Oryctolagus cuniculus: one gene and its partners. The protein of the gene in region 3 interacts with the protein of the main gene of each other region in a pairwise test. Links are inferred from orthologs where the notes say so. Each region holds a gene or a part of one and is shown on either strand. Other genes may lie near its edges. The genes, in order: SYT6, BAHD1, DVL3, KLHL12, TNFAIP8L1, SNX22 and WT1.

What was found.
Region 1: the proteins of DVL3 (region 3) and SYT6 interact in binary tests that used the Homo sapiens proteins (3 or more experiments, as listed by UniProt). The two-hybrid records come from large-scale screens. The link is inferred for Oryctolagus cuniculus from reciprocal best matches to the Homo sapiens genes DVL3 and SYT6.
Region 2: the proteins of DVL3 (region 3) and BAHD1 interact in binary tests that used the Homo sapiens proteins (3 or more experiments, as listed by UniProt). The two-hybrid records come from large-scale screens. The link is inferred for Oryctolagus cuniculus from reciprocal best matches to the Homo sapiens genes DVL3 and BAHD1.
Region 4: the proteins of DVL3 (region 3) and KLHL12 interact in binary tests that used the Homo sapiens proteins (3 or more experiments, as listed by UniProt). The two-hybrid records come from large-scale screens. The link is inferred for Oryctolagus cuniculus from reciprocal best matches to the Homo sapiens genes DVL3 and KLHL12.
Region 5: the proteins of DVL3 (region 3) and TNFAIP8L1 interact in binary tests that used the Homo sapiens proteins (3 or more experiments, as listed by UniProt). The two-hybrid records come from large-scale screens. The link is inferred for Oryctolagus cuniculus from reciprocal best matches to the Homo sapiens genes DVL3 and TNFAIP8L1.
Region 6: the proteins of DVL3 (region 3) and SNX22 interact in binary tests that used the Homo sapiens proteins (3 or more experiments, as listed by UniProt). The two-hybrid records come from large-scale screens. The link is inferred for Oryctolagus cuniculus from reciprocal best matches to the Homo sapiens genes DVL3 and SNX22.
Region 7: the proteins of DVL3 (region 3) and WT1 interact in binary tests that used the Homo sapiens proteins (3 or more experiments, as listed by UniProt). The link is inferred for Oryctolagus cuniculus from reciprocal best matches to the Homo sapiens genes DVL3 and WT1.

What each region holds. Positions count from the first base shown.
Region 1 is NC_091438.1:56,259,353-56,262,852, forward strand, and holds part of SYT6 (synaptotagmin-6), read left to right. Parts: intron 1-2,022; coding exon 2,023-2,143; intron 2,144-3,500.
Region 2 is NC_091443.1:63,632,837-63,636,336, forward strand, and holds part of BAHD1 (bromo adjacent homology domain-containing 1 protein), read left to right. Parts: intron 1-1,449; 5' UTR 1,450-1,463; coding exon 1,464-2,889; intron 2,890-3,500.
Region 3 is NC_091435.1:93,733,659-93,737,911, reverse strand, and holds the start of DVL3 (segment polarity protein dishevelled homolog DVL-3), read right to left. Parts: upstream 2,801-4,253; 5' UTR 2,531-2,800; coding exon 2,370-2,530; intron 1-2,369. UniProt on the Homo sapiens protein: Involved in the signal transduction pathway mediated by multiple Wnt genes.
Region 4 is NC_091444.1:18,666,275-18,670,337, reverse strand, and holds the start of KLHL12 (kelch-like protein 12), read left to right. Parts: upstream 1-1,263; 5' UTR 1,264-1,319; coding exon 1,320-1,449; intron 1,450-2,724; coding exon 2,725-2,963; intron 2,964-4,063. UniProt on the Homo sapiens protein: Substrate-specific adapter of a BCR (BTB-CUL3-RBX1) E3 ubiquitin ligase complex that acts as a negative regulator of Wnt signaling pathway and ER-Golgi transport.
Region 5 is NC_091447.1:59,885,495-59,889,335, forward strand, and holds the end of TNFAIP8L1 (tumor necrosis factor alpha-induced protein 8-like protein 1), read left to right. Parts: intron 1-1,995; 5' UTR 1,996-1,999; coding exon 2,000-2,560; 3' UTR 2,561-3,341; downstream 3,342-3,841. UniProt on the Homo sapiens protein: Acts as a negative regulator of mTOR activity.
Region 6 is NC_091443.1:87,211,748-87,215,764, forward strand, and holds the start of SNX22 (sorting nexin-22), read left to right. Parts: upstream 1-1,217; 5' UTR 1,218-1,343; coding exon 1,344-1,418; intron 1,419-1,676; coding exon 1,677-1,760; intron 1,761-2,048; coding exon 2,049-2,153; intron 2,154-2,452; coding exon 2,453-2,547; intron 2,548-3,112; coding exon 3,113-3,180; intron 3,181-3,566; coding exon 3,567-3,688; 3' UTR 3,689-4,017. UniProt on the Homo sapiens protein: May be involved in several stages of intracellular trafficking. Interacts with membranes containing phosphatidylinositol 3-phosphate (PtdIns(3P)).
Region 7 is NC_091432.1:33,511,590-33,515,885, forward strand, and holds the start of WT1 (Wilms tumor protein), read left to right. Parts: upstream 1-1,496; 5' UTR 1,497-1,905; coding exon 1,906-2,353; intron 2,354-2,703; exon of another isoform or gene 2,704-4,296. UniProt on the Homo sapiens protein: Transcription factor that plays an important role in cellular development and cell survival. Recognizes and binds to the DNA sequence 5'-GCG(T/G)GGGCG-3'. Regulates the expression of numerous target genes, including EPO.

The DNA of each region.
Region 1 (3,500 bases), on a different chromosome or scaffold from region 3:
AAGGCAGGGGCCAGAGCTTCTCCTTCTTCCTCAGGAAAAGGACCATTCGGCCAGGTGGACAAGGATTTGTTTCCTGCATGGCACAGGAACTGTCACCTTCCTGCGAGGCTGGGGCACGGGGCAGTTTGTGTCTCCCTCATTTGGGGACTGGGGAGACTGGGGACCCTGGCGTCTTCTTGAACTGGTTGCACCCCACTAGGCTACACTGCGTGTGAGAGGCGTGGGGACTGTACTCTCACCACAGAGCGCGGGAGTGCACACAGATGGATCAGGTGGCTGAAGCGGCACCCAAGGGGTAGAGGAGCCAGGGTTACCTGGAGACGCTTCCTGGGTGAGCGGGAAGGGGAGCTCACAGGTGGAGGGCATGAACACTCGCCCAAGGGACTCCCAGGGGAGTTCCCTTGGCGGGGCAGAGTGTTTAAACCGAGTGCACGAAGCCCAGGGAGTAGCAGACACAATGCCTGCCACGCAGGGCCCCAGCGAGCCTCCGAGGTGGGAACGTAACCGTGGAAGAGCTCCGTGGGTGCTGGTCTTGATCGCAGGTGCTGTGGAGGCTGCAGGGTCCTGTGTGCTGGAGGTGGCGGCAGCAGCCAGACCCTCTCCTGGGGAACTGGGGTATTCATTCACCTTGTGCTCCTGCTGGATCTGTTCCGGGTGGGGTGGAAACGGTGGGTTTAATGCCATCTAGAGGAGAACCTTGGGACTACATGCTCTGGAAGGAGGTGGGAGAGGGCTTGGTGAGGACTCCAGCTCAGGACTCCAGCGAGTCTTCAGTAGAGACTGGCTCTTTGTGAGGTGTGGACAAGAAACGTAAAGTCACCTTTGACTCCTCTCTTTCTGAGAAGACACCTCCTCCGGGAGGCCTTCCCTGCCTGAAGATTCAGCAAGTGTAGCCTCCCTGGCGTTCTCTGCCTTTTTTCTTCTTGATGCTCTTGCCTGTCCCACGTACTTATGTAGCTCTCTTGTCCTGCTCGGCCCTGATGAAAGGAAAGCCCATGAAGGCAAGGATTTGTGTCTGTTTCGTTGTCTCCCCTCTCAGCACCTAGTACATCACAGGTGCTTAGTGATCACTGGGTAAATGAATGAACAGATGACTAGGTGGCCCCGCCTGAAGTCAGAGCCACCCAAACCCTGGCGTCCAGCCTGGCTCCACCATCCCAGAGCCCCGAGGACCTCGAATCTGCGGGGGGAGGATGCTCAGTGACAGCGCCCCTCCCCACTCGTCATGGGGAGCAGAGAGGACGGGCTCTGGAAGGCGCTGCTCCATACGACCCATGCACAGGCTCGCTAAGGAGTTTTTGTGTCCTCTCGGAATCGCCCAGGGAACCTTGCTCCTGGCGCTGCGCGGGGAAGGAGAGGCAGCAGAGCGCATGGCCCCTGCCGTGTCTGCTCCTGAAGAACTCCTAGGGGTCCAGGACGTGATGTCCAGTGTGGGGTGGGGGCTGTGGGCCTCCCCCATGAGCAGCGCGCCCCGGGCAGGCACCGCTGCCTTGCGCTCTCACGCCGAGATTGCACGTTAGAGCCCTGGGCGTGGACGCTGCCAAAGCAGAGGGATTGATGACGAGCCGCTGGGCTGGGGGACAGAAGCAGGAGGGCCGCAGAGGGGACCCCTGTGGGCTGCAGCCTGGATCTTGTTGGGGACACTGCCGGGACCACACATACATACCTGGGTGGGCGGGAAATCCAGGGGCTCAGTGAGCTGCAGAACAGGACTGGGGCCCCCCAAGATGTCGGCGGCTGCAGGCTTCAGGCAAGGGGCGCACGTCGGGCAGGGCGCTGGCCAGCTCTGAGCCCAGAATCTGGTCAGAGCAAGAGCGGGTGTCCACGCAGGGGGCAAACTCTGGTGGTGGGGGTGACACTGTGATCTCTGCCTTCTCTCCCCAGTTACTCCCAGCATGGTGGCCACCTCTAGGGTCTTACACACATGGCACCGTACCCCAAGAATCTCCTGCCAGGACCCTGGGCTCTCCTCCGGCAGCTGCCGCACGCCCCTCACCCGCCTTCTCGTGTGCTTCCTTGCAGGAGAGCGTGGACCTGGGGGAGATCATGTTCTCCCTGTGCTACCTGCCCACTGCGGGCAGGCTCACGCTCACCGTGATCAAGTGCCGGAACCTCAAGGCGATGGACATCACAGGCTACTCAGGTGCCTCCCCGCCCCTCCCCACCGGCCAGACCTTAGCGTGCAGAAGGGGGTTTGAGGAGGCTGGCTAAGACCTGCCAGTGTCTCAGAGCTGGGCACCAGCAGCGGGGCAGCGGCGTGGGCAGCAGCTCCGCTCCCACCACCTCCCCGCTGTGTAGATGCCTCGGTTTCTGAGTCTGAAGAGCAGGAATGATGATACCTTGCCTGGATGAACAAATTAAGCCATGTAAATATTTAGAATTGTACCTGACTGCATTATAATAAGCACTTGGTAGAGATTAGCTGTTGCTCTCAATCATTCTCTTAGAGGAAGGAGATGATAAGAAAGAAATCCATAGGAGCAAAAGAAAAAAAAAGTGAGGACAGTCTTTGAGGTATATGAGGGGCCCCAGGACTCACAGAAGGGCTCCGTGGAGTGGGAGCGTAGATGTCCACAGGTGCACCCAGGCCTGGGGCGGCAGCCTGTGTCCTGGGTCAAGGAGCAAATGCCCTGGCAAGCACAGTGCATTTCTGCATGAGTTTCTCCTGCAGGGCTGCTGGCCTCTGCCTCGGCACTCAAAGAGCAAGGCCGGAGATGTAGCCTTGTTTTTACAACAAAGGAAAGGCTCGCTCAGGTGCACCTGCAGCGCCCTGCAGGCTGGACATGGGGTCAGAGGTTCAGTCCCTCGGCCACGATTCCGCAGGTCGGTGTAGGGGAAGACAGTTGAGTAGGGGAATAATAGAGGGGCAGGCGTTTGGCCTGGCGCTTCAGCGACGCCCACTTGTACCACATCAGAGTGCCTGGGTTTGACACCCAGCTCCGCTCCAGACTCTAGCTTCCTGCCTGTGTGCGCCCTGCAAGGCAGCCGTGATGTTCTCGTGATTGGGGTCCTGCCACTCACATGGGAGACCTGGACAGAGTTCCCAGCTCCTGGCGTTCCCAGGCCATTGTGGGCATTTTGTTGTGAACTAGTGCGCAAGAGTGTTTCTCTCGCCTCGCTCGCTCTCTCCCTCCCTCTCAAATAAATTTAAAACAAAATCAGTTCAAAATAGCAAAGGAGTGGCTTGCTGCTTGAGTCCTGAACACCCCCCACCTCCCGTCCCTGTACACAGAGAGCAGTTTGGGCTGCACTCAGAAGAGCAAGGATGGGGAGGCTCATTCTAACCCCCAGGCCCCTGCCCAAGATCCTCTGATGATTCCTGTTACCACTTGGAAGCCTCTGTTACCACTTGGGAGGTGCCTCTGAACTTGGCTGGAAATGCAAGTATATTGAAGATTTCCCTTGTATTTCCTTTGTATTTATTAATTATTCATTTCCTGATAGACGCCTTGATATAATCCCAGTTACCACAGAGAGACCACGATGCAGCTGAAAACACC
Region 2 (3,500 bases), on a different chromosome or scaffold from region 3:
AGTGGCAAGTCCCCGCACATGGCCTGAGCGGAGCCTGGCAGGCTGCCTCCCCTTTGCAGCTTCCCTGGCCACACTGCCCTCAGCCAGTTTCTCTGAGCACTCTCTGGTGCGGCAGGTCTCCTCAGAGAGGGTTCCTGGCCACCCCAGCCCTGGCCCAAGGCCACAGGAGCCAGCTGGAAGGAACTGTATGGGAACCCTCAGGCTTGGGACTTTGAGGGTTAAATCCTGGCCCAGCAGGGACTGCTCCGAGCTCCTGGAGCTGAGTGAGTGTGAATAACAATAGCAGTGGGAAGTTAAGCTGAAAAGCCTGGGCTTGCTGGGTGGGGAGGGGTCGCAGGGGTGCTGCTGGGGGGCACGTTGTCTGGCACCTTACTTGGCAGGCCTGTGCTTTGGGTTGGGGAGTGGGTAGGAAGAGGACCCCTCAGTGGTCTCTGACCACCAACGGCCCCTCCCCACCGGCCTCTGCTGTTCTTCATTGGCCATGCCAGCTCCCAGCACACAGCCAGCTCTAGCCTCGCTGAACTGGGTCCAGCCTGCTCCGGTGTATGTTGGCCTGTTTTGCCAAGCAGAGTTAGGGGATGATGATGCATGTTGTGGGCATCCTTGGTCAGCGGCTCTGGGCTGCCTAAGACTTTCCTTGCCTGCTCCTGCCTGGCATCCTGCCTGCAAAGAGGGAGAACCAGGGAACAGGGCAGGGCTAACAGGGCAGCCCCGCTTTATCTTCTGCATTAACTCTCCTCTGATGAGTTCTTTTTCCCAACTCTCGGTGCCTGGCAGGGCTTTGGGGCTGTAGCACAGGCCCAGCGTGCAGCCCTGGGTTTCCCACACTCAGGAGCCTGCTGATGCCCTCCCCCCCACTCTGGGTTACACGTCCCTGGAGTCTGAGCCTCCATTCATTTGGCTTGGAGGGGTGGCTGAGGCCTCCCAGACTCCCGTCTTCTCCAACCCAGGCACACGGCAGGCACACCCAGGCACGGCCATCCAGCTCCATGTGCTAGGTAGGGAGTCCTCAGATGCTGCACTTCGCCTGCCCCAGAGCCCAGCAGGCAGGTTCTTCACTTGCTGCCCGTCTCCTCCTCCTGCAGCCTCTCTGGGAAGCCCAGATTCAGGGGAGGGCTGGGTAATGATCTAGCAGTGCTCATGACAGGCACTGATGGAGGGACTCCTGTCGCCCAGGCTCCCAGCCTGCCTCAGCGTCTTCAGAGCTGCCCCCTGGTAGGAGAAGACCACACAGAGCAAACAGAAAGCTGTGCCTCCATCCAGCTCCTCGGGTCCCTGACCCTGGGATCTGCATTGCTCTAGGAGCTCTCCAGGGGCTTATTTGGGCTAAAAGAGGAGGAGCAGTTCCCTGCTCAGCTGCTCCACTGGACCTTAGCACTCTAAAGGGGGGTCCTGGGGAAGCCCAGGCAGGCCAGGGGCACTCCTCATTGCCTGTCTTGTGTCCTGCAGGTGAGAGGGACTCCATGACACACACTCGGAGAAAGTCCCTTCCCATGCTGAATTCAGGCCTCCCCGGCCGCCGGGAGCCCCTGCAGATGGAAGACAGCAGCATGGAGCAGGGGGCAGAGGGTGTGGAGCCAGGTATGCCTGACAGCCCTGGGCACCTCACAGGGCGCCGCAAGAACTACCCACTGCGTAAGCGCCCACTGGTTCCTGAGAAGCCCAAGGCCTGCAAAGTGCTGCTGACCCGCCTGGAGAATGTGGCTGGTCCACGGAGTGCAGACGAGGCTGACGAGCTGCCCCCTGACCTGCCCAAGCCCCCCAGCCCGGCCCCATCCAGCGAGGACACCAGCCTTGCCCAGCCCCGAAAGCGGCGCCTGGCCTCCCTCAATGCAGAGGCCCTCAATAACCTGCTGCTGGAGCGAGAGGACACTGGCAGCTTGGCAGGCACCCGCCGCAGTCGGGGAGACCCCCAGCGCAGCCGGGACCGCGACCGGGCCGCTGGCGCCTGGCCTTCCTCCAAGAAGCGGCCCCGGCTTGGAGACCTTGGGGAAGGCAATCGGGACCTGTCCCCAGAGCCAGCTCCAGATGAAGGTGCCCGTAGAGATGGAGACCCAGCACCCAAGAGACTGGCTAGCTTGAATGCAGCGGCCTTCCTGAAGCTGAGCCAGGAGCGCGAGCTGCCCCTGCGGCCACCTCGGGCCCACACAGAAGCGGATGGGCGCTCGACCGAGCTCCCGGCACCCAAGGCGCCAAGGCCAAAGTGGGCCAAGATCAATGGCAAGAACTATCCCAAGGCCAGACAGGGGGCTGGCTCTGGGGAGGCTGCAGGCCCACCGGGCTGGCAGGGACACCCTGATGAGCCAGGGCCAACTGCCACTCCTCGTGAGCCATCCAGCCAGCCACCTTACCAGCCCCTGAGTAAGGCTCTGGAGAACCCCTTGGGGCTGCGCCCACACCTGCCCCTGCTGATGGGTGGGCAGGCAGCTCTGAAACCGGAGCCTGGGCGCCCAGGTGAGGAGTCACCTGCCCCCAAGCAGGAACTGCATCAGCCCTCTTTTCCTGCCCCTCAGCTGTCCCCGCTGCCAATGCCTGGCAACTCTGCCGACTACAGTGGCCTGTGTGCTGGGCCTGAGCTCACCACACTGGGCAGCTTCTACCTGTACTGTGGCCAAGAAGGGCTGCAGTGTGGTGGCTACTCCGCATGCCCCATGCTCCCCGAGGGCAAGCTGTCCCCAGTGGCTGCCCCTAACGAGGGGCTGCTCTTGGCCCCAGGCTCAGTGCCCTCAGGCACCCCTTTCCAGCACCCTGCCTGGGGTCCTTCTCGCTACTGCTCCAGCGAGGACACAGGGATGAGCGGCTACAGCATCTGCGGAGTGTTGCCCCTGTCTCTCACCCACATTGGCACTACCTGTGGCGGCTGCCCCTACAAAATGCCTTTTGCAGCAGGTAAGCCTTCCTGGGAATGGGGAGCCTCTGAAACATGGCGTCCAGGGTGGGCTGTGGTTCTGGGCAGGGGCTTGGTTTCTAGCCACTACTACAAGCCAGAGAGCTTTGAGAAGGGAGGGCTTGCCTGTGGAAATTTCCTGGGGAGTGGCAGCCTCGAAGTGGCCGAGAGAGCAGGAGGGCCTCGCCGCCTGCCTCGCTGAGATACCTGTCTGGACTCTGAGTCACAGCTTACACACTGATTGGGGCTTTGACCAGGTTGTCCCGTGACCCTACGGCCCTCCTCAAGGAAAGCTAGAATTCCTTAGTTTGCAGAAGCCCAAACCTTCTGCGTGCCTACTGGGCTCAGCCTTCACAGGGAGGTTGGTAGGTAGTGCCGGTGGCAGCTTCGCCTTAATGTACAGGCCTGAGAGGTGCAGTGCCCAGACCCAGCATCTTTTTTTCTTTTCTTTTCTTTTTTTTTTTTTTTTGAAAGACAGTTAAAAAGAAAATGTCCCCTCCATTTGTTCACTCCCTGAGTGGCTGCAACAGCCAGGGCTTGGCCAGGCCAAAGCCAGGAGCCAGGAGCTTCTTACGGGTCTCCACATGGGTGTAGGGGCCCAGGAACTTGGGCC
Region 3 (4,253 bases):
CTTCGGATCCAGCTCCCTGCTAATGTGCCTGGGGAAGCAGCAGACGATGGCCTAAATACTTGGCCCCTGCCACACACTTGGGAGACCAGATGAAGCTCCTGGCTCTGGCCAGGCCTAGTCTTGGTGATTGAGCCCATATGGGGAATGAACCAGCTGATGGAAGATCTCTTGGTCTCTGTCTCTTCTAACTCTGTCTTTCAAATAAATAAACCCTTTTTAAAAAAATAATAATCTTACCTGGAATTGCATGACTATGGCTTTAGATTTTGGAGCCAAATTTCTGATGTCTAATCAAGCTCTGCTGCTTACTCGCTGTGTGACCTTGGACAAGTTACTTGAGCTTTCTGTGTTCTCATTTGTAAATAGGATATTATGACCTATTTCATAGGGCTGCTATGAGGATTCAATGAGTGAAAATTTGAACAGCATTAGATCATTGCCTGGCACACTGGAAGGCCCACAAAGTTTGTCAAATAGATGAAACATATATACGCTCCTCAGCCGTCAATCCTCTGTGATAAGACGGCCCTGCCAGGTCTCCTGCTCATTTCCTTCAGGGGATACAAACAAGATCAATCACCTCCACTTCATTTTTAGCATTGTTCTCAACCCTGCTAGCATGGCCAGCTCTGATACCTCACAGAGAGAGGCTGTATGCAAGATGGCTCCAGGTGGCACATGAATAAATGTTGCTCAGTTCAATACTTATCTTTAATGTATTTTATAAAGAAATATACCTAAGAAAACTGGCTCTGTAATTTAATGTCTTTGAGTCAAGCTAAGAAGAATACAGAGTGGACTGACAGTGGACTTAAAGAAAAACAGTAAGGAAACAGTGAGCAGGGAGTCCCAGGCTATGGCTGCAGTTAGGGAAAGGGAGAGGCAGCCCCCAGAGTCTAAGCTTCAGAGGCGGGGTCGGTGAAGGGTGGAAACACAGGCCTAGCCTAGTTCCTCCAGGCATCTGGCCCTGTGCACTGGACTCTGGCTGCTTTCCCCCAATCCTGTATCCCAAGGTGGCATCCAGGTCTCTTCCAACCCCAGTCCTTTCTTGCCAGGCTAAGGCACCCAGCCCTTAGCCCCTACTCCTTCCAGATTAATCCCTCAGAATCTACTCATCAGGGGTGTCTGACACCAGACAATCATTACCACACCAGGAGTACCCCACCCCAGGGCAGGAGCACCAACAACACAAACAAGAGTGAGCCCCACACTTCCCACTGTACACAACACTTTCACGCACACACTTCCAGGGGCTCCTCACACCCTGAGTTCCAGGGCAGAAGGTGACAGCCAAACATGCCAGACAGACACAGAGGGTGCGTGCTTCCTGGGGCTCCCAGGGCCAGGGCCCTGGGAGGGCAGCCAGACTGACGAACAGTGGGGACAAGAATGCCTCCCCTCACTCAGCTCTGGGGCCCCAGGCTAGGGCTGAAGAGGCCGCCGCTGTGAGGCCCAGGGCCCAGTAAGTGTGGGGCAGGCTAGTGTGGGGGCCTCCCCCTCCCCCAGTCCCCAGGGAGTTGGGAGGGGGTGTGTGAGGGGATCAGCCAGGCTCCCCCTCCCAGGCCAGCTGCTAAGAACCTTTCTCCAACATTCCATCCCCTCTTAAAGGGGAAGTGGTTGCTTCCAAACTCTGTGGGTCCAGAGCCCTGCAGCAGGAGGAGCCGCCACCAGGGAGGGGGACAAACACCATGAGCTCTTCCTGGCCCTGCCATCCAGGTTCTGAGGCCCTTCCCAAAGTCCACCTTGGCCACGGCGGGACAGGAAAGGCCCCAGTGCCCAGGGATCAGCACCTGGGTTAGTGAGGACTGCTCCTCAGGGGTCAGGCACTCTGTTCCCTTGGCAATCCCCGAACTGCCCGCGGGCCAGAGGGGAGACAGCTAAATAAACATCAGGTCTACAGGCCCAGCTCCCAGCCTGGCGCCGAGCATCCCCCAACGCCCCCTCCCCCAGTTCAAAGTCCCACGGCGGGGCCCTCAGATGCAGGATACTCCAAATATGGGGAAGGCGAAGGCCGAGTGCCCAACACCCAACACCCCAAGTCTGCACTAAAAAGGTGGCTCCCTTGCAGGACGGCGCTGGGGGACCAAGGCTTTGGAATTGGGTGTGCGGGGGTGTGTCCCTCCGTGTGGTCTCTGAGGAGGTGGGGGGGGGGCTCGACGGGCAGAAATGGGCTCTGGGAGAGGGGACGTCCCCCCAAACTAGGAAACCAAGATTCCCCCCCCCCCGAGAGGTGAACGGGGAGTGTCCAGAGCGGCCCGAACCCCGGCCTTTGAGAAAGCCAGGGGGTCGCTCGCTGGAAGCCAGGGTGACGCGGGGAAAGCCGGGGGAGTTGAGGCCGGCCCCCGAGGCAAGGCGGGGGCCACGCTCACCCGAAATCGTCGTCCATAGACTTGAAGAAGAACTTGTAGCTGGGTCGCTGCAGGACGCCCTTAAAGTCCGCCAAGGTGACGCGCTCGGCGGGCAGGGGCAGCTTCACCAGGTACGGCGTCTCCTGCCCGTCCAGGTGGTAGATGATCTTAGTCTCGCCCATGGCCCCGGCTCGGGCCCGGCGGCCCGCGCGCGGCCTGCTCGGGCGGCCGGGCCGGGCCTCTCGGGCGGCGGCGGCGGCGGCGGCGGCGTTCGGCGCGGCCCAGCGGCTCAGCCCAGCTCGGCGGCCGGCCGCGGCGCCAGCTCCCTTGTTCTCCCGGCGCTCCCGGGTCCCAGCGCCGCCCGCCGCGGCCGCAGCCGCCGCTTCCGCCCCCCGCTCCCCCGGCTGGGCTGGCGACCGCGACTCTTCCGGTGGCCGCGGCCCGCCGGGCTCGGCGCTGCGGCCCGGCCGCCTCCCCTCCCCCGGCCCCGGCGTGGCCCCGCCCCGGCACGGCCCCGCCCCCCGCCGCCGCAGCCGCCGAGCGGCGCGGCCAGAGCGGCAGATGGCCGGCCCCGGCGGACTCCCTGGCCTCCGTGACCCCGACCGCGCGGCGGCTCCCGGGCCCCAGGCCCCCGGGGCGGAGGGGCGGATCTCTCGGGACTGCCGCGTCCCGGGCTCCCGCTGGAGCGGACCGGCGGTCCTCGCTGCCCTGCCCGAGAGGGCTGGAATGCAGGGGGCGCTTTGGGCTCCGGAGATGGTCTGGGGGAGGGGGTGGACCTGACTGGATCGCGGGAGGACATTATCTCAGCGTGGCCCTCCAGGGTCCGCTGAGGAGCCCCGCCGCGGTGACTGAGCTCCCTGAGGGCCTGACGGTCCCGGGATTCTGACGTCTCCTCAGAACCTCAGCGTCTGGGAGCAAAGTAGTGGCTTAGGTGAATGGATTGCATGAAGAATGAGCCTATGCGTGCATCACTGGGCCAGTCAGCCTCGAGTGGGAGCTAGGTATAATCGGTTCCTAACAGGCCTCCTCATCCCTTGGCTTTTAATTAACGTAATACATTTCGAGTGCGTACTAAGGGCAAGACATGGAGATAGAGCAGTAGCATCCAGGGCCTTCACTCACCTGCCAGGAAGCACCGAGGCTTGGAAATGAATAATTTCTTAGTGACAAATGCTATGGAAAGATACAATGGGGTACTGTGATAGTGACAGGAACAGGAGGACTCTGGGTAGTCAGAGAAGGCCTTTTGCATTTGAGTCAAGACCTAAAAATAACAAGCAGGAAGCGGCCATGGGATGGGGGCAAGAGTATTCCATGGCCACTTAGAAAAGCTCAAGGCAGGAAGAAGCTTAACTCGCGTGAGGAGCAAGAAGGCGACTGTGCCTAGAGGGACTAGGTGAAGCTAGAAAGGTAGGCAGGGCGAGATCACACGCAGGGAGATCACAGGCGGCAGTACGGACACTTTGTACACTTTGCCAAGTTAGCAAGCAGCACTTTCACTCACCTCTTCCACTGGGAAACCTCTCCACATTCCATAATGCTTTCCCAATATCCTTAACATTCATATGATCCTGGATATATATTTATTTGAAATGCAGGGGAGGAGAAGGGGAGGGAACAGGAAAGAGAGAGAAAGATCTTCCATCTGCTGGTTCATTCCCCAAATGCCTACAATAACCAGGATTGGGCCAGGTCAAAGACAAGAGGCCAGAACCCCATCCATGTCTCCAAATATTTGAGCCATCATTTGCTGCCTTCCAGTGCATTAGCAAAAAGCTGGCATGGAAGTGGAGGAGCCGGTACTTGAACTAGGCACTCTGATGCAAGATGTGGGCATCCCAGCTAGTGATTTAACTACTGTGTCAAATGCCTTCCCCTATATTGGACAAATTTTTGACTCCAGGG
Region 4 (4,063 bases), on a different chromosome or scaffold from region 3:
TGTAAACCAGGGAGTCTTCGGGTGGGAAGATTGCTTATGGAAGACAGAGACACCAAGCAAAGTAGCAGCCGCCCACCGTGCTGGGGTATCACCAACCTTAGGCATCAGAGGCCGCGCACAGGAAAGCAGTGTGGGCACTGACTTAGGTGGAACTGAGGAGCCCCGGCCCCTAACAATGCGTCCAAGTCAAGAAGAAGCAGAAGGCCTAGCCGCCCCCTCCCTGCACCCCCGGGGACGGCAGACAGGTCCGGCAGGGCTGCTCCGAGACCCTCGCAAGCCCCACTGTGACGCAGAGAACGCCCGAGGTCTCGGGGTTCTCGCCACAGCACTAGTCGGCGCGAGGCCGCCACTGTGGACCGTGGATTTTGAGACAGTTGCAGTGTCTCTGGGTTTCCTGGATGACAGGCAGTACCCGAATCCCTGGCAGGTAAAACGGAGCCCCTGCAGTCAGCGCCTTCGCCTAGAAGCCCTGGGAACGCTCCCCGTGGGGCCTGCCTCGTGGGCTGCGGGCAGAAAGAAACTCGGTTTCAGCGCATCACAGAGCTGGACGCCTGCGCGATCCCCTCCCCGGGCGCCCCCTCTCCTGCTGCTGGCCGAAGCCAGCCCCGGGCACATGCGGGTCAGGTGACGACGACGCCTCACGTGATGCCGACCCAGGGGAGGAGGGGGGCGGGCCTCGCTTGGCATTACGTCATCACGTCGCGCGGCCGCGGGGACCGGAGCCGGGACGCCCACGGTGACGGCCCCAGAGCCTCCGAGCGGGGGCGGCGGCGGCGCTCCGGCTCCTGCTGAGCCGCCTGCTCGCCCCGCTCCCCGCCCCGTCCCCAGGGACTGTGGCCGGGCTCGGCGCGGCCGCTGGGCCCGGGAGCCGAGGTGAGTGGACCGGAGGTGGCGGCAGGTAGCCCCTGCCTTCGTAAGGTGGTGGCCCTTCCCCCATTCCTGGGGCTCCCTCCGAGGAGGAAGGCGGGGGGGCTTCTGGCCTGCGGCACCCGGCGACCCGCGCCCCTCCGCTACCTCTGCCAGGCGGTGCCAGCCTAGCGCCCGGCGTGGTCCGCGGCGAAGACCTTCCTTCCTTCTCGGGAACTGACCCTTACCAGGAGTGGACACCCCGGCCCCGCCCCCAACCTGCCGTGGTGGAACCCCCGTGTTCAGGTGTGATCGGAGGTTCTAGAATAGGGCCCTTCCGAAAGGTAAGGGTGAGGCTGTGCTGAGGCTGCCTGGGGGGGCCGCTGTCCCCGCGCGAGGTCCTTCGGACCCTTGCATCCCAGGGTGGCCCTCGGTTGAGCGAAGGAAGACCTTTGTGCAGGACGCTCGCTCTGATGAATCACCGCCTGGTGTGCAAAGTGCCTGTGGCACAGTCGCTGGGTGGATCCTGTAGAGTGATGTGCGGACCATGGACAGAAGTAGATGAGTTTGGGGTCTTGTTTTTGCTCCTCAAACATCCTGACCGTGAGTTGCGAACTTTTTTTAATTTCTTGGATTATTTTTGAAAGTTTTGGATTCCCAGTAAGATGTACTCTCTTAATGACCACCCCCCATTTCACTCCCAGAAATTGTGCCTGAAGCCAAAGGAGAAAAAAAGGCTGTGAACTAGCACCTGTTCCTTAAGTTGCTGTTAGGTAGGGAATCACTGAGCTGATGCGCACAAGTGAACTTTGGGGCACAGCCGTCCCTTGGTGTCTGCAGCGCATTGGTGCCAGGAGCTGCCACAGATACCAGATAGGCTGGCACTCAGGTCTCCTGTAGAACGCTGTGTTTGCATGCAGCCTACCTAATGCATTGTAACTGCTGTGTAAGTGGTTTTGATACTCTGCTTAGGCAATAATGTCAAGGGAAAAACCGTGTGCATGTATAATACCCATGATTTTTTTTTCTCAAATAGTTCTATCTGCAGTTGGTTGACGGTGTGGGTGGGGAGCCATGGGACAGAGGGCTGACTTGTAACAGGCCACGGCAGCGATGGCGGTGAAGTTGGCAGTAGAGGGATTTTAGGTTTCTATCCTGACAAGTTCTCTGAGTATAGAAGAAGTGCTGTGAATATTGATGTGTTAGCATTGGTGGACGTTCCCAATCGTGTAGAACAGGAAGACTCCTACTGAGGAGTTTTGACGACTCTGGGGAGACCACAGATGGCTTGCGTGGTCTCTGCTATTCAAAGCAGGTCCCAGGTTGTCGTTTGAAATTTCACTTTCAGAAGAAATGTAATTATATTTGGAAATCCTGATGCATAATTCTTTGCATCTTGTATTTCTTTGGAAACCAGTTCATTTTCACCAATACTAGCCTTTCTTGTTCTAAGTTGAATACACTGTTTTTCTTATATTTAATTGTTAAATTTTAATTGTGTACCTGCTAGGGTCCATATGAACCAAGAACCCACCCTCTGAATACTTATTCTCTTATGAATATTAAATAGCCATGATGTCACACCTTTAAGGGATTTTACCTTTTTATCACTTGAGACAATCCCATGAAGATACATAGGCCTTTCTGTTTAGAATACAGTTGAGCACCGATTATAATAAATTGCAGGTGGCAGGGACACTCATGACAGAGGACTTGAGAGGAAGCAGGGCTGCTCCTTAAGCTAGAAGAGTTAGCGGCCAGATGGCGGTGAGCCCAGAGAGCGCAGGGGCTGTCCCTGTGGGCGTCTGTGCCTGCAGAGGTCTCAGCCCCCGTCTGGGAAGCTGATGGCCTGTGTGCCTCTGTTGCCTTCTCTTGCAGTTCCAGGACCCAGGGCCCCCTCTGTTCTTTCTCCATATTGCTTGATGGGAGGCAGGATGGCCCCCAAAGACATAATGACCAACACGCATGCTAAATCCATCCTCAACTCGATGAACGCCCTCAGGAAGAGCAGCACCCTCTGCGACGTGACGCTGAGAGTGGAGCAGAAAGACTTCCCCGCCCACCGGATCGTGCTGGCTGCCTGCAGCGACTACTTCTGCGCCATGTTCACCAGCGAGGTAAGCAGGCCGCACCCGTGCAGCCCATGCCTGTAAGCGCCTCGCCTCGCCTCACCGAGGAAGACAACCCAAGCTTCATATGGTAGTGGAGTCTTGTAAGACGCTGTGTAAGCAGGCAGGCTTATTCACAGTGAGATCCGCACATGCCTGTGCCTTCGTTTTCTCACCTCTGAGTTAGAGATAATAGTGCTGCCCAGTGCGTCACGCAAGGCTGTGGCGAAGACAGAAAATTACGTGTCAAGTGCTTAGGACAGCTTAGTGGGTAATGAGACGTTATTGACTTTGTGTTGGTTTGTTTTTAGAGATTGACTTATTTATTTATTTGAAAGTCAGAGTTACACGGAGAGAGGAGGAAAGGCAGAGGCAAAGAGAGAGGTCCTCCATCCGCTGGTTCACTCCCCAGATGGCCACAATGGCCGGAGCTGCACCCGATCCGAAGCTGATAGCTTCTCCCGGGTCTCCCACGTGGGTGCAGGGGCCCAAGGACTTGGGCCATCTTCCACTGCTTTCCTGGGCCACAGCAGAGAGCTGGATGGAAAGTGGAGCACTGGTGCCTGGATGGGATGTCAGCACTGCAGGCGGTGGCTTTACCTGCTACGCCACAGCACTGGCCCCCAGCTATAAAATTTGCCTTCACATTTTTCTAAGCTTTAATTTTTTTTTTAATTATTTGAGAGGCAAAGTTACAGAGAGAGAGAGAGGGAGAGACAGAGAGAGGTTTTCCATCTGCTGTTTCACTCCCCAAACTTGACCACAACTGCTGGAGCTGGGCCGATCTGAAGCAAGTAGCTTCTTCCAGGTCTCCCTTGTGGATGCAGGGACCCCAGCACTTGGGCCATCTTCTACTGCCTTCCCAGACCACTAGGAGGAGCTGGACTGGAAGTGGAGCAGCTGGGATTCCAAACCAGCATCCATATGGGATGCTGGCACTGCAGGTGGAGGCCTAACTTACTATGCCACAGCTCGGGCCCCTCCCCAAACAATTTTTGACTACTATGCCTCCCCAGCTTCTGATATATGTTTATAATCTATTTTCATTTATTTTTAAATGTTTATTTTTATCTACATGAAAGGTAGAGCAACAGAGAGGGGGAGAGAAG
Region 5 (3,841 bases), on a different chromosome or scaffold from region 3:
TTCTGACCCTGGCCTTTCCGGGCTGTGGACCTGGCTCAGGACACGGCACGAATGTCCCGGACCCCTCCCCCCGCGCCGTCTCCACCTCTTAACCCCACGTCTAACCTGCCCAGTAGGAGGGTGGGCATTTGGACCCACGGTTAAGACACCGCTTGGAGCACCTGCCTCTGATATCGGGGGGGTCCTGGGTTCGAGTCCTGACTCTTCTTCCCATCCAGCCCCCTGCGCGCATGCACCCCGGGAGGCCGCAGTGAGGGCCCGAGTGCTGGGCCCCTGCACCCTCATGGGAGACCTGGATGGAGCTCCCGGCTCCTGGCTCCCGCCTGGCCCAGCCCTGGCCGTTGCACACGCTGGCAGTGTTTGCTGAGCGACTGCGTGAGTGTTCAGGCCGAGCCCCCGCAACTTTAGCACCCTGCTTCGGTGGCCCCGACGCCTGGCCCTGCACCGTCACCGGCAGGAAGGAAGCCGGCATTTATTTTGGGCCTTAGCCCGCTCCCCCGGGACGGCCGTCAGAACAATGGGCCCGTGGGGAGGAAGGCGGGGGCGTGCAGCTGGCAGCCCAGGTGTGCACGGGGCTGGGGGCCGCTGCTGGGCCCCGCCCCTTTTCCTGCGGGCCTTCTACGGAGCCTGGGAACCAACCCAGGGCTGGCGGGTCCAGGGCGGGCAGGAAGACCCTCGGGGGTCCAGGGCCTGGGCCTCCTCCCCAGGGAACCTCGGGACTCCGGGCCCAGGAGACTCCGTGGGAACAGTGCAGAGCCCACCCCTGCCCCAGGCCCAGCGCCGTGACTGGGGGAGGGGCACCAGCCCGGGGAATCCAGGTGGGCTTCTAAGAGGAGGTGATGGCGGCACCGAGATTCGAGGGAGCTGAGCCATTGCAGGGGGAGTCCAGGCGGCGGGAAAGGCACCAGAGAAAGCCGGAGAGGGCATCAGGTGGGACCACACTGGACACCGTGGCTCCAGGCAGCGGGTGCCTGGGGCCTCCGCTCACCCCCATTATAAGACGGGGAAACTGAGGCAGGCGGCGATTACGTTGCCTGCTCGGGAGGCCAGCGCTGGGAGCAGGCCCTGATCCGTCAGGGCCCCCGGCTGGGCTCTGGGGTGCCGAGGTGCCGAGGGGGGTGGCTCAGTGTCTCCCAGCCTCTGTGTTCCGTCCTGCAGAATGGGCCACCAGCCCAGCGCCCGGCAGAGACCATGAGCTGGGCCCAAGCCGGTGGCCAGGGCCGGGGGCAGCCGGGGTCTGGGGACCAGGGAGCCGGCAGGGAAGGCCCCGGTCAACGCTGGCCTGCCCTGACCCCTGAGGGCAGGTGAGGACGTCCCCAGGGGTCGGAGCTCACACACAGGGCTTTGGGGGCTCCCGGGCGCCCCTGAGGCCCTCCTGGGGTCCTGGGTCCCCGGCTCTGCCTGTAGAAGTTTCTGGACTGAGGACACAGGGTCAGGCCTGCTGCCTCCCAGCCCAGTGCGGGAAGCAAAGCCAGGAGACGCCTGGCCACTTCAGGGGCCGGCCATGCAGGCTGAACTGGGGGTGAGCCTTGCACGGGGAGGCGCCGGGGCTGGGGCCCGGGGGAGGCGTGGGCTTGGTCCTGGGACCCGGGAGGATGCATGGGGGGGTGGGGGTGGGGGTGGGCGGGACACCCAGGGACGGACCCTGCGCCTGTGCCCTGGCCGGTCCTCCCTGGCCACCTGCCCGGCCCCTCCCTGGGCGGGAGCAGCGGCACCCCAGGGTCCTTCCAGGGCCCCACGGTGTCCTCCCCAGGAACCCACTGCCCAGGCTGCTACCCCCCCACACGCACCAGCTGACTCCAGGCCTAAGCCCTGGGCACCGCTCTGGGGGCGCCCCGAGAGGCCGTGCACAGCTGGGGTCTGGGGCTGGCGGCCCCGCCCCAGCTGTGGGAGGGGGGAGACTGATGAGCGGGCCTGGGGGCGGGGCCTGCGGTTTCGGCCCGCCCCAGCCGCTGGCCCCTGACGCGCTGCCCCCTGCGCTGCCCCCTGCCGCAGGGCCATGGACGCCTTCAGCCCCCGCAGCCTGGCCCTGCAGACGCAGAAGAAGCTCCTGAGCAAGATGGCGTCCAAGACCATGGCGGCCGCCCTGGTGGACGAGGCGAGCGGCCAGGCGCTGGACGAGCTGTACCGCGCCACCAAGGAGTTCACGCGCAGCCGCAAGGAGGCGCAGAAGCTGGTCAAGGACCTGGTCAAGGTGGCCGTGAAGCTGGACGTGCTGCTGCGGGCCGGGCAGCTGGCGGCCGCCGAGCTGGCGCAGCTGCAGCGCCTGCGCCGCAGGGCACGCAGCCTGGCGCTCACCGCCCTCAGCTTCCAGCAGGTGGCCTTCACCTTCGACCGGCGCGTGCTGGCCGCGGGCCTGCTCGAGTGCCGGGACCTGCTGCTGCAGGCCGCCGGGCCGCACCTCACGGCCAAGTCCCACGGCCGCATCCAGCGCGTGTTCCGCCACTTCGCCGACGGCGACTTCCTGGCCGCGCTCTACGGCCCGGCCGAGCCCTACCGCTCGCACCTGCGCGGCCTCTGTGACGCGCTCGGCCGCATGCTGGACCAGGACCGCCTGTGACCCTGCGGGCAGGGGGCCCTGGGCTGGCGGCCGCGCGAGGCGGGACCCCGGGGCCGGCCGGGCAGTGGAACTGATCGGAGCCCACGGCGGTTTCTCTGCAGCAGCCACTGCCCGGGGCGTCCAAGACACTCGGAGAGGCAGAGGCCACCCGCCCGCCCGCGGGTCCCCTCCCCGGCTCCCCCACCAGGGCGGAGGGGCCCCAGCCGGACTTGAACCCAGGCACCGCGCGGGCTTCCTGTGGCCCCTTTCCCATCCGCTTCCCGCGGAGTGTTCCCGCCCCTGGTCAGCCCCAGCCCCGCCCTGGGCCTCGGCTACGCGCGTTTGCGGCGCCGCCCCGGGTGCGCGGGGAGCATCCCATGCCGGCCCCAGGCCTGGGCCCCCTCCTGCCTCTCCCTGGCCTGCCCGACGGGGCGATGGGCGAGTTATCCCCAGGCTGGGGGCGCCTGCCATAATCCTAACTTTCCAAACTCGGAGGCCACCTAGGAGGGGCCCGCAGACTGCGTTGTGGGAAAAACGGAATTAAAAGACGGGTCTGGGGCGGGGGCTGTGGCGCAGCTGCTTAAGCCGTGCCGGGGACCTGGGCTCGGGTCCCGCGCACGCGCACCCTGGGCCCCGGCACCCACGCGGGAGACCCGGTGGGGCTGCCGGCTGCAGCCTGGTCCTGGCCTGGCCGCTGGCTCCTGGGAGTGAACCGCTGTACGGAAGATCTCTCTCCCTCTGCCTTTCAAGTTTATTGAATGCACAAACATTTAAAAAAGCACATTTATTTTGGCGCAAATAATTCTGAAACCCACGCGCGTTCTTTTTTACGGCACCGACGGTCCCCGAGCCCTCGCGGGCCTGGGTGTGGTCTCTGCACCCAAGCCTGTCCCTCTGGTCCACGTCCCAGAGCCCTGGGCAGCGCCTTCCTCCCGCACGCCTGGTCTCCTGCCGCCACTGCCACCAGGCCCTCCCGTTACGGAGGTGACAGAGGGGCTGTGGCGCAGGGGTGAGGCCGCCGCCTGCAGCATCGGCTCCAGTTCCAGTCCCTGCGGCTCCGCTCCCACCCCGCTCCCTGCTGTGGCCCAGGAGACAGCGGACAGCCTGAGTGCTGGGCCCCTGCGCCCACTGGGAGCCCGGGAAGCTCCCGGGTGCGGCCTGGCCCGTCTGGGGAGTGAACCTGTGGATGGAGGCCGCTCGCGAGCACTCTCTCTAATAAGGACGTCTAAACAGACACAGGAGGCCCGAACACACGCCCACCCGGGGAGCACACGGGGCTCGGCGCCGGCTGCACACTGCCCT
Region 6 (4,017 bases), on a different chromosome or scaffold from region 3:
AGAGGAAATGAAAGCACAGAACTTCCCCTTGCTTGGGCTGTTTCCCTTGGGAAGCCTTAGCTTCCTGATTCTGAGGTGTGGTGGGATCTGGAGGTGGACGGGCGGGGGGTGGGGGTCGGTGAGGTCCACTAGCCACTAGGGGTCATGCGCCCAGCCGCTCCAGCTCAGAAGCACCTCCGCACTAACAGGGTGAGATCTCCTGCCCCAGCCCTCAAGACAGGCCCTGTGCTTCCCAGGTCCCAGCCAAGACCGGCACGGCGTGAGCTCTTGGGAAGCAGCGCCTCCTCTCCCCGCTCCTCACGGGACAGCTCAGAGTGGGGCCAGAGGTAGCGGCACAGGCACTCCCCATGACCTCAGAGTTCTGGGGTCAAATCCCCCCACCCTCCCAGAAGGGTGGGCAAGAGCAGCCTGCTGCCACATCCCACAGGCCCTCTGCCCCCTGCCAAGCCCGCATCAGCGGCCATTAAGTCAGCACTTACTCCGCTAAGGGCTTAGCCAGGATCACCTCAATTTGTGTACACTGTCCCGAAGGAGGACATGGAAGTGAAAGCTAAGTTTATTCTGGTGCAAACAAATGTGAAATCCATTCATATGAGGGAGCGCCTCAAATGCATTTCGGATTTCAATTTTTGGTATAAAAAACCTTTAGTTCCACTTCCCACGAACTTTTGCCTTTAGATGACTATTACCTCTATTTAGCAAAGGTGCACGCAGTTCCTGAAATCCCGGCTGTCTGAGCCGCAGAGAACAGCTTGGGTCTCTAAATCGCCGCTTCCTGCAAAGCGGGCCGGCAGCAGGTTGGGGCTGAGAGCGAGAGTGGATGAATTCATGGGTGACCGAGTGAATGGGCGCCGCGGAAGTCGGACACGGGCGCTGGATTGCATCCAAGCCTTGCCCAGGCGTGGCTTCCGCTGGAGTCTCCAGGCCTAGATCCCAGGGGCCAGACCGAAAGGAGGGAAGGGGCTGGGGAAAGCGAGGGACGTCCCTGGTTGGCCCCAGAGCAGGTGCCGAGGTCCGGGCCCCGCCTCCACTCGCAGGCTGTGGCACTCAACAAAGAATAGGCGACGCCAGGGCTGCGCGTGTTCCTGGCAGCCCCTGAGCACTCGATCAGGGTCTGACGAACGCAGGGCTCCACCGAGGCGCTCCTCGCGCCGCGGACGCGGGCGCCGTGCGGACCCCCCGCTCCCCGCCTAATCGTCTCGGCGCAGGACCCCGCGGCGCGAGGAACGCCCGGGGCGGGGCCTGCGGGGCGGGGCCTGCGGGCCCGAGGGGCGGGGCGGGGTCCGCGCGCGGCGGCTGCAGAGTTCGGGCACAGAGCGGCCGGCGCCGGCGCCCCGGCGCAGATGCTGCAAGTTCACATCCCGTCGGTGGGGCCCGAAGCCGAGGGGCCCCGGCAGAGCCCGGAGAAAGGCCACATGGTGAGCAGGGCCGCGGGGTGGACAGGGGCGCGGGGACCCGCTGGAGGTCCTCGCCCCGAGCAGAGTGGGGACCGGGGCTCCCCGGGCTGGGCTGTCGGGGGCTGCCCTGCCCAGGGTTCCGGGGCTGCTGGTGCTCCCCAGCTATTGAGTGAGCGCACGAGCAGAGGGGCGGGGCCGCCAGCCCTTTTTTCTAAGGATGGGAAGTGCGGGAGGGTCCCCGGGGCTCTCCATCGGGGCCTCACGCGTGCCCCCCGCCAGGTGTTCCGAGTGGAGGTGCAGTGCAGCGGGCGCAGACACACCGTGCTTCGGCGTTACAGCGAGTTCCACGCGCTGCACAAGCGGGTGAGGCGGCCCCGCCCCCTGGCCGACCCCCTCCCCCCGCCCCCGCCAGCCTGGGCCCGCCCCGGGGAGGCAGAGGGGGAAACTCGGGTCCCAGCCTGGGCCGCCCCCGCTGCTGCTTCAGTCCCTAGAGGGCGCAGACCCTGCTGGGGGCCCGTGGCAGGGAGGGCGCAGGGGGCAGATCCCAGGCGACTGGCCGGGTCCTGGCAGGGGTGCGGGGAGGCGTGCGGAGCGCGGGTAGGCTGGGGGCTCCGTGGAAGGGCTGTGAGGGCACCACGGTAACCTCGGCAGATCAAGAAACTGTACAAAGTGCCGGACTTCCCCTCGAAACGCTTGCCCAACTGGAGGACCAGGGGCCTGGAGCAGCGGCGGCAGGGCCTGGAGGCCTATATCCAGGTGTGTGGCGGCCTGACCGGCGCTGGGGGACGCCCGCAACGCAGGGATGCTGCTCACTGCCTCGGGCTTCAGCTTTCCGCACGGCCCTCGGTGGTTGGAAAGACCGAGTGAGGACCGGGGGGCAGGTGGCGCCTGGTGCTCCCTTGCTACGGGAAGTGGAGTGGGGGGTACTTCCCAGGCCACCTGGGGGGTCCGGCCTGCGCTGTCCACCCCGGGTTTAATGCTCTGCTCTCCCTCTCGCGATTCTCCGGATTGCACTGGGCTCTGCACGCCGGCGGCTGCTGTCCTCTGTCCTCCAGGGCGTCCTGTACCTGAACCAGGATGTGCCCAAGGAGTTACTGGAGTTCCTGAGGCTTCGGCACTTCCCCACGGACCCCAAGGCCAGCAGCTGGGGGTATGGAGAGCCCGTGATGGGGGTCAGGGGCTTTCGGCAGCAAGCCAGCAAGGGAAGGTTTTGGAGGCCAATGTACTTGCCTGGTCCCCTCATCAGCTGTCTGGACCCACAGAGGGGCTTTTTCTGGACAGCCTTGGCTAACCCCAGCCACCTCCGGAACCGGCTGTCACAAATAGAAGCAGGGGTCCCCTGGGAGGTGAAGTTCTGGGCTTCTGCATCTCCACCCCTTCCTCACGGGCCCCGGGGCATCCCCCGGCAATTATAGGGCCTCTCTCCTCTGCTCCCTGGGGGAGCTCCTGCGGGGCACGGCAGGCAGGTCCGAACCTTTGGCAGTGACCGGCTCCTGCTCCCCCTGGTGGCCACAGGGAGGGAGGCGCGCCTGCAGCCTCGGGCCTGGCCGGCCTCCCCCTGGGCCCAGCCTTTCCTGATGGAGCCTCCAGAGCCCACATCTGTCACCTTTTCCTTTGTGGGCCTCTGAGGATCTCAACCCCTAGTCTCCATCCCTGCGGGACTTGGCCCTTCCCTTCCCCACTCCCTCCTGGCTCACGACCCTACTTCTTCCCAGCTCGCAGCTGCACCATCGGCCTGTCCTCAGCTTCCGCCTGGATCCCTACCTCTGTGCCCCCTCCCCAGGTGAGCTCCTCTGACCCGCGAGTGACCCATTCTCAAGGCCCAAGTCCGGGTAGACCGGTAGGGGCAGGCTTGCCAGTTCTCAGGACCCCTGGGTGGCCCCTCGCTCCTGCTGCTCTGTGCACCTGAACCTGCACTGTAAACACCAGTGAATGAATTCAGCCTGGTTCCCCTGGTCTAAAATTCTGTTACAACCCGGCCTTACCAAGCTGATGAAACTGACCTGGAATGCCAAGGCTTCATTTGGGGACACAGCTGCAGGAGCTCCTACTCCCCAGGGACGCATGAGCCGGTGGGCAGTGGCTCAGGGAGCCGCAGGCCTGAGGCCAGACCTGTCCTGCACCTCTCCGCCCACAGCCCTCCACCCCTTCTCCCGTTCTCCCCTGCAGAACCTCTGCCCAACATGGTGGTGAATGGTGTGCTCCAGGGACTCTATGGCTTCAGCATCAGCCCCAGCTCGGCTCAGCCAAAAGCTGCCGGTCACCCTTCTGCTCTGCCGCCCACGCCTTGAGCAGCCACCCGCCGGGACAGTCGTGTGCCTCAGCCCCTGCGCTCTGTCTCAGGGACGTGGGCTGGTCCTCCGGTCCTGGTGCAGGGGTCGGCCTGCACTGGCAGCTGGGGTGGGGAGTTCACGCGTTCCTGGAGCCAGGCGCGAATGGTCAATTTCGAGGTAGGCTGTGACAGGTCCAGGTGTGTCTGCACTTGGAGAAGCAGCGGCAGTTTTAAGGCAAGGGCTGAACGCCGTGCCTGCCTACCTGCCTCTGTGGGAACACCTAAATCAAAGGGCCAGGCACCCATGGCGAGCAGGGAGTCCCCGCACGCCAAGAACCCAGCCCACAC
Region 7 (4,296 bases), on a different chromosome or scaffold from region 3:
GTCCTGAGCGGGCGGAGCTGACCGAGGCTGCGTCCACACAACGCAGGGTAAAACCGAAGTCTAAGAAATGTGGAACGGGTCTAGGCGACCGGAGCACTCGGCTTCTTTGACCAACTGCGACGACCTCCATGGTCGCTTCACTTAGGCGCCGCTGGAGCCGCGGGCCCCAGCCCCGGCCTCCCGCGCGAGGCCTCTCAGCAACCGGCTGCTTCCTGCCCCGCGCGCCTGGCAGTCCCAGGCTGCGCCATCGCCGCTGCCTCCTGGCGCTCTGCGTGTCTGTGCGCCGCTGAGGCGCTCCCCGCTTCGGGCTCCCGGCCCTTCTCCTTACCCATACGCTGGTTCCCGATAGATCTTCACTACTTTGGAAGAACTCACAAAACAAAACCAACTCCCCAACACCTGCTCTAGCGCGCGGGGCTCCGCGGGACAGCGCCTAAGTGGAGGGAGGAGTCTAATTGGCGAAGCCACGCGCTCGGAGCCCCCCACGGTGCGAACACTGCCGCGCAACGTAGAGCCGAGGCAGGCTCTCCCTGTCCCGCTGCGTCCTGGGCCTCGTGTCCATCGCTTTGCTGACCAGAAGCAGAGGCAGTGCCTGGCAGAGCGGTCTCAGGAGCCAACCTCTCTCCGCAAGCATCGCATCCGAACCCTCCCCATTTCCATTCCTCTTTCTCCCTCAACTGGGCGCCGGGATGCTCCGGCCAGAGTATAGGCAGGCTCCGGGTGTTTTCCCCAAGGGTTCTCTTTCCTCCCAAACTAGCCTCGCTTTTCCCGGCTTAACCGCACAACTGGATACTCCTTGGGAGAAAAGGAAAATACGGGCCGCTGGCAGCAGTTTTAGGTAGGCGGCAACCGCCCCCCTCTCAGACCTTACCAACTAACCCACGCCCAGACGATCCAACACGCCCCGCTTAGCGTAACTGATGCCCAGCTGGGGCGCTTTTGCCCTGGGTCTCGACCCCCGGAATCCACAAAGGGGCCGCCCCCACCCCAGTGACCCGAGGATTACGGACATCATCCCAACTCGACGGCTCGTAAAGCAAGAGCCGAAGTCGCGGGCGCAAATACCCAGGGTATCCGCCTCTTTCTTCGCTCCCCTTCAGTTCCCGCCCTCTTGGATCCCACCTGCTCCTCCCTCCAGCCCGCCCTCTAGGATGAACCACCCAGCTCCAAGGATGCAGAGGGGGTCACACGGCTTACCTGGAGGGACTCGCCCGCGGCCTTGAGGCGCCCACACTCCTGAAAGCTAGGATGGGGCGGTGGGGGGAGGGCTGCGCCACACAGGCCTGCTGAGAGCGCGTGGCGGGTGGGAGAGGAGGGTGTCTCGGCGAGGGACGCTCCCTCAGGCCCGCCCCCCCCCGCCCCCGCGGCGAGGGCGCCCCCAAGGAGCTGTGCGCGCTGACCAGCGCGGCTAGGGCTGCGGTGTGAATGGAGCGGCCGAGCCTCCAGGCTCCTCCTCCTCCCCCGCCGCCGGCCCCTCTTATTTGAGCTTTGGGAAGCTGGGGGCAGCCAGGCAGCTGGGGTAAGGAGTTCAAGGCAGCGCCCACACCCGGGGGCTCTCCGCAAGCCGACCGCCTGTCGGCTCCCCCCTTCCCGCCCTACCTCCCACTCACGCACCCACCCACCCAGCCACCCAGAGCCGGGACGGCAGCCCAGGATCCGGGGCCCTGCCGCCTCCTCGCCGCGATCCTGGACTTCCTCCCGCCGCAGGAGCCGGATTCCACGTGTGCCCCGGAGCCGGCATCTCAGCACGCGCTCTGCTCGGGGCCCGCGTGCCTTCAGCAGCCCGAGCAGCCGGGAGTTCGGGGCCCGGGCGGCATCTGGGCCAAGTTAGGTGCGGCCGAGTCCAGCGCCGAGCGTCCGCAGGGCCGGAGAGGCCGCGGGGCGTCCGCGGTTGAGCTGCAGCAGATGGGCTCCGACGTGCGGGACCTGAATGCGCTGCTGCCGGCCGTCCCCTCGCTGGGCGGCGGCGGCGGCTGCACCCTGCCAGTGAGCGGCGCCGCGCAGTGGGCGCCGGTGCTGGATTTCGCGCCCCCGGGCGCCTCGGCTTACGGTTCGCTGGGCGGCCCCGCGCCGCCGCCCGCTCCGCCGCCACCCCCGCCGCCGCCGCCGCCGCCTCACTCCTTCATCAAACAGGAGCCGAGCTGGGGCGGCGCGGAGCCGCACGAGGAGCAGTGCCTGAGCGCCTTCACGGTCCACTTCTCGGGCCAGTTCACCGGCACAGCGGGAGCCTGCCGCTACGGGCCCTTCGGCCCTCCTCCGCCCAGCCAGGCCTCCTCTGGCCAGGCCAGGATGTTCCCCAACGCACCATACCTGCCCAGCTGCCTCGAGAGCCAGCCAGCTATTCGCAACCAGGGTGAGTCGGCGGGGGAGCGCGAGGCGGCGGCGCCGGAGCTGTCGCCGCGCGTGGCCTCTCCTCTCCCCTCCCCCGTCCCGGATCTCAGCTCTGGCCCCGCAGCCTCCGCTATGGCCGTGCGGGTGGCGGAAGCGTTGGCCAGGGAGCGGGGGAGCGCACGCCAGTAGAGGCTCCCGACATTCTCCACAGCGCGGCAGAGCGGGGAGCCTAGCGGTTCGCATGAGCCGGGAGTCCGCCTGGGGCCCCGCGAATCCTCCCCTCACGGGAATGGAACAAGGGGAAGGGTACAGAGTGCGGCCAGGCCTCGGGCCACGAGTTGTTTTTTTTTTTTTTTTTCCCCTGCTTTTGGCGCCTCCAAATTATCACTAGGCATTGCACTTTTTAGACGTGTGTAGATGGTGGGGTCAGGTTGGGAGCAGCGCGGGTGAGCATCCCGGGCCTGCCTCCCCGCCCCGCCGCGCCAAAATGTCCAGGAGCTCCCCAGGTATTAATACGGTGCTGGCACACACTGGCACCCAGGAAGAACCGTGGGGCAGTGACCAGGTGGCTTGCCTGAGCCGCGCCTGTGCTGGTGGAGAGTGCGCGCCTTAGGCGGTCTCTCAGGTTTCGCTCAGGCAGCGGCCACGCGAGGCTCCAGCCACGGACAGGAACCCAGCTTACCCGATTCCAAATGCTACCGCAGGCATTTAAGGCCGGAGCAGATGCCCTTGGCGCGCCTCCTCGTAATGTAAACCAGGGAGAGAGTTTGCAACCTGATGCGTTAGGACAAGGCAGGCTTGTTCGCCGTCTTCAGTCGATTCCCCCCGAGCGACGTCGGCCGGTGATTCTCTTATACCCGCGCGGGCGTCCACGCGCGTGACGTTTGGTCCCGACCAGCGCAGACTCCTTTAGAACGAGCGCCTGTGGTCCGGGCCCTTCGTTTATTCTCCTTGCATGTCTCTGCTGTTGAGAACCTTAAACCGGTTCGGGTTGATGGGATGTTTTAGGAAACGCAATGGCGGACGCTTTTCCTGGATCACCACCTCGCCCAGGCCCAGGACTGGGATGGTTCTAGAATGAGTGGGGTAGGAGGAGCACTGTTGTGCACCGTGTTCCCGAAGTACCAGGAGGCACGAAGTACCCTGAGGCACGGAAGAAGAGGTTGGCTCTTCTCGCTCTCACCTGCGTCTTCTGAAAGAGGGTCTGCGTGGCTCTCCCGACCACCCAGGAGCCCTTGGCCCAGCCGAAGCCGTGGCAAAACCGAAACCATGCAGTTTCCTCCAGAGAAATCTGGGAACCGGGTCCCACGGAGGAACCTTAGGCAGACCCCAGGGCCCCTCTCCGCCTCTCGGGAATGAAGTTTTTGGAACGCAAGGGCTGTTGGAAGCACTTACTGTGGCTCTCAGAGACTCATGTTCTCGGGGCGCTCCACCTCTTACTGTAGGCTGCTGTTAACCTTTATGGAATCTCCAGGTCTCAGTTTCCCCCTCTGTCAGAGGAGAGTTGAGATGGACAATTGGAGGTTGGGTCTGCCCTCAGAGGTGTCGGGGAGAGAAGTGGCAGTCTGACTTCTCCCAGCGCGGGGCTCTCCGTCCAGGACAGAGTAGCGTACCTTAACAGCCCAGGGTTCCAGACGCGCCGCCGCCCGGCAGGTGTGTGACACAAGTCCGTGGGTGGACTTGTGTTATCTGGAGAGACCCTAGAAGCTTCCTATCCAAGACCCCGGGGGAACCAAAGACTGCCGCACCTTTATCTCCGTTTTGAGTCTCAGTTCTGCCCTGCGAATCTTGAAACCTGGGTTCTCTGGCTTTGGTTGGGGCCCCAGTGTCCAGTCTCCTGGTGGGCAGGTGCTTAGATTCCATCAATTCCACCTACATGTAGGGGCAGAGGTGAGGTTCTCAACCAGTGGACACTGCACTCCTGGGGACAGTTATAAGGCCCTTCCAGTGGACAGGCTTCAAGAG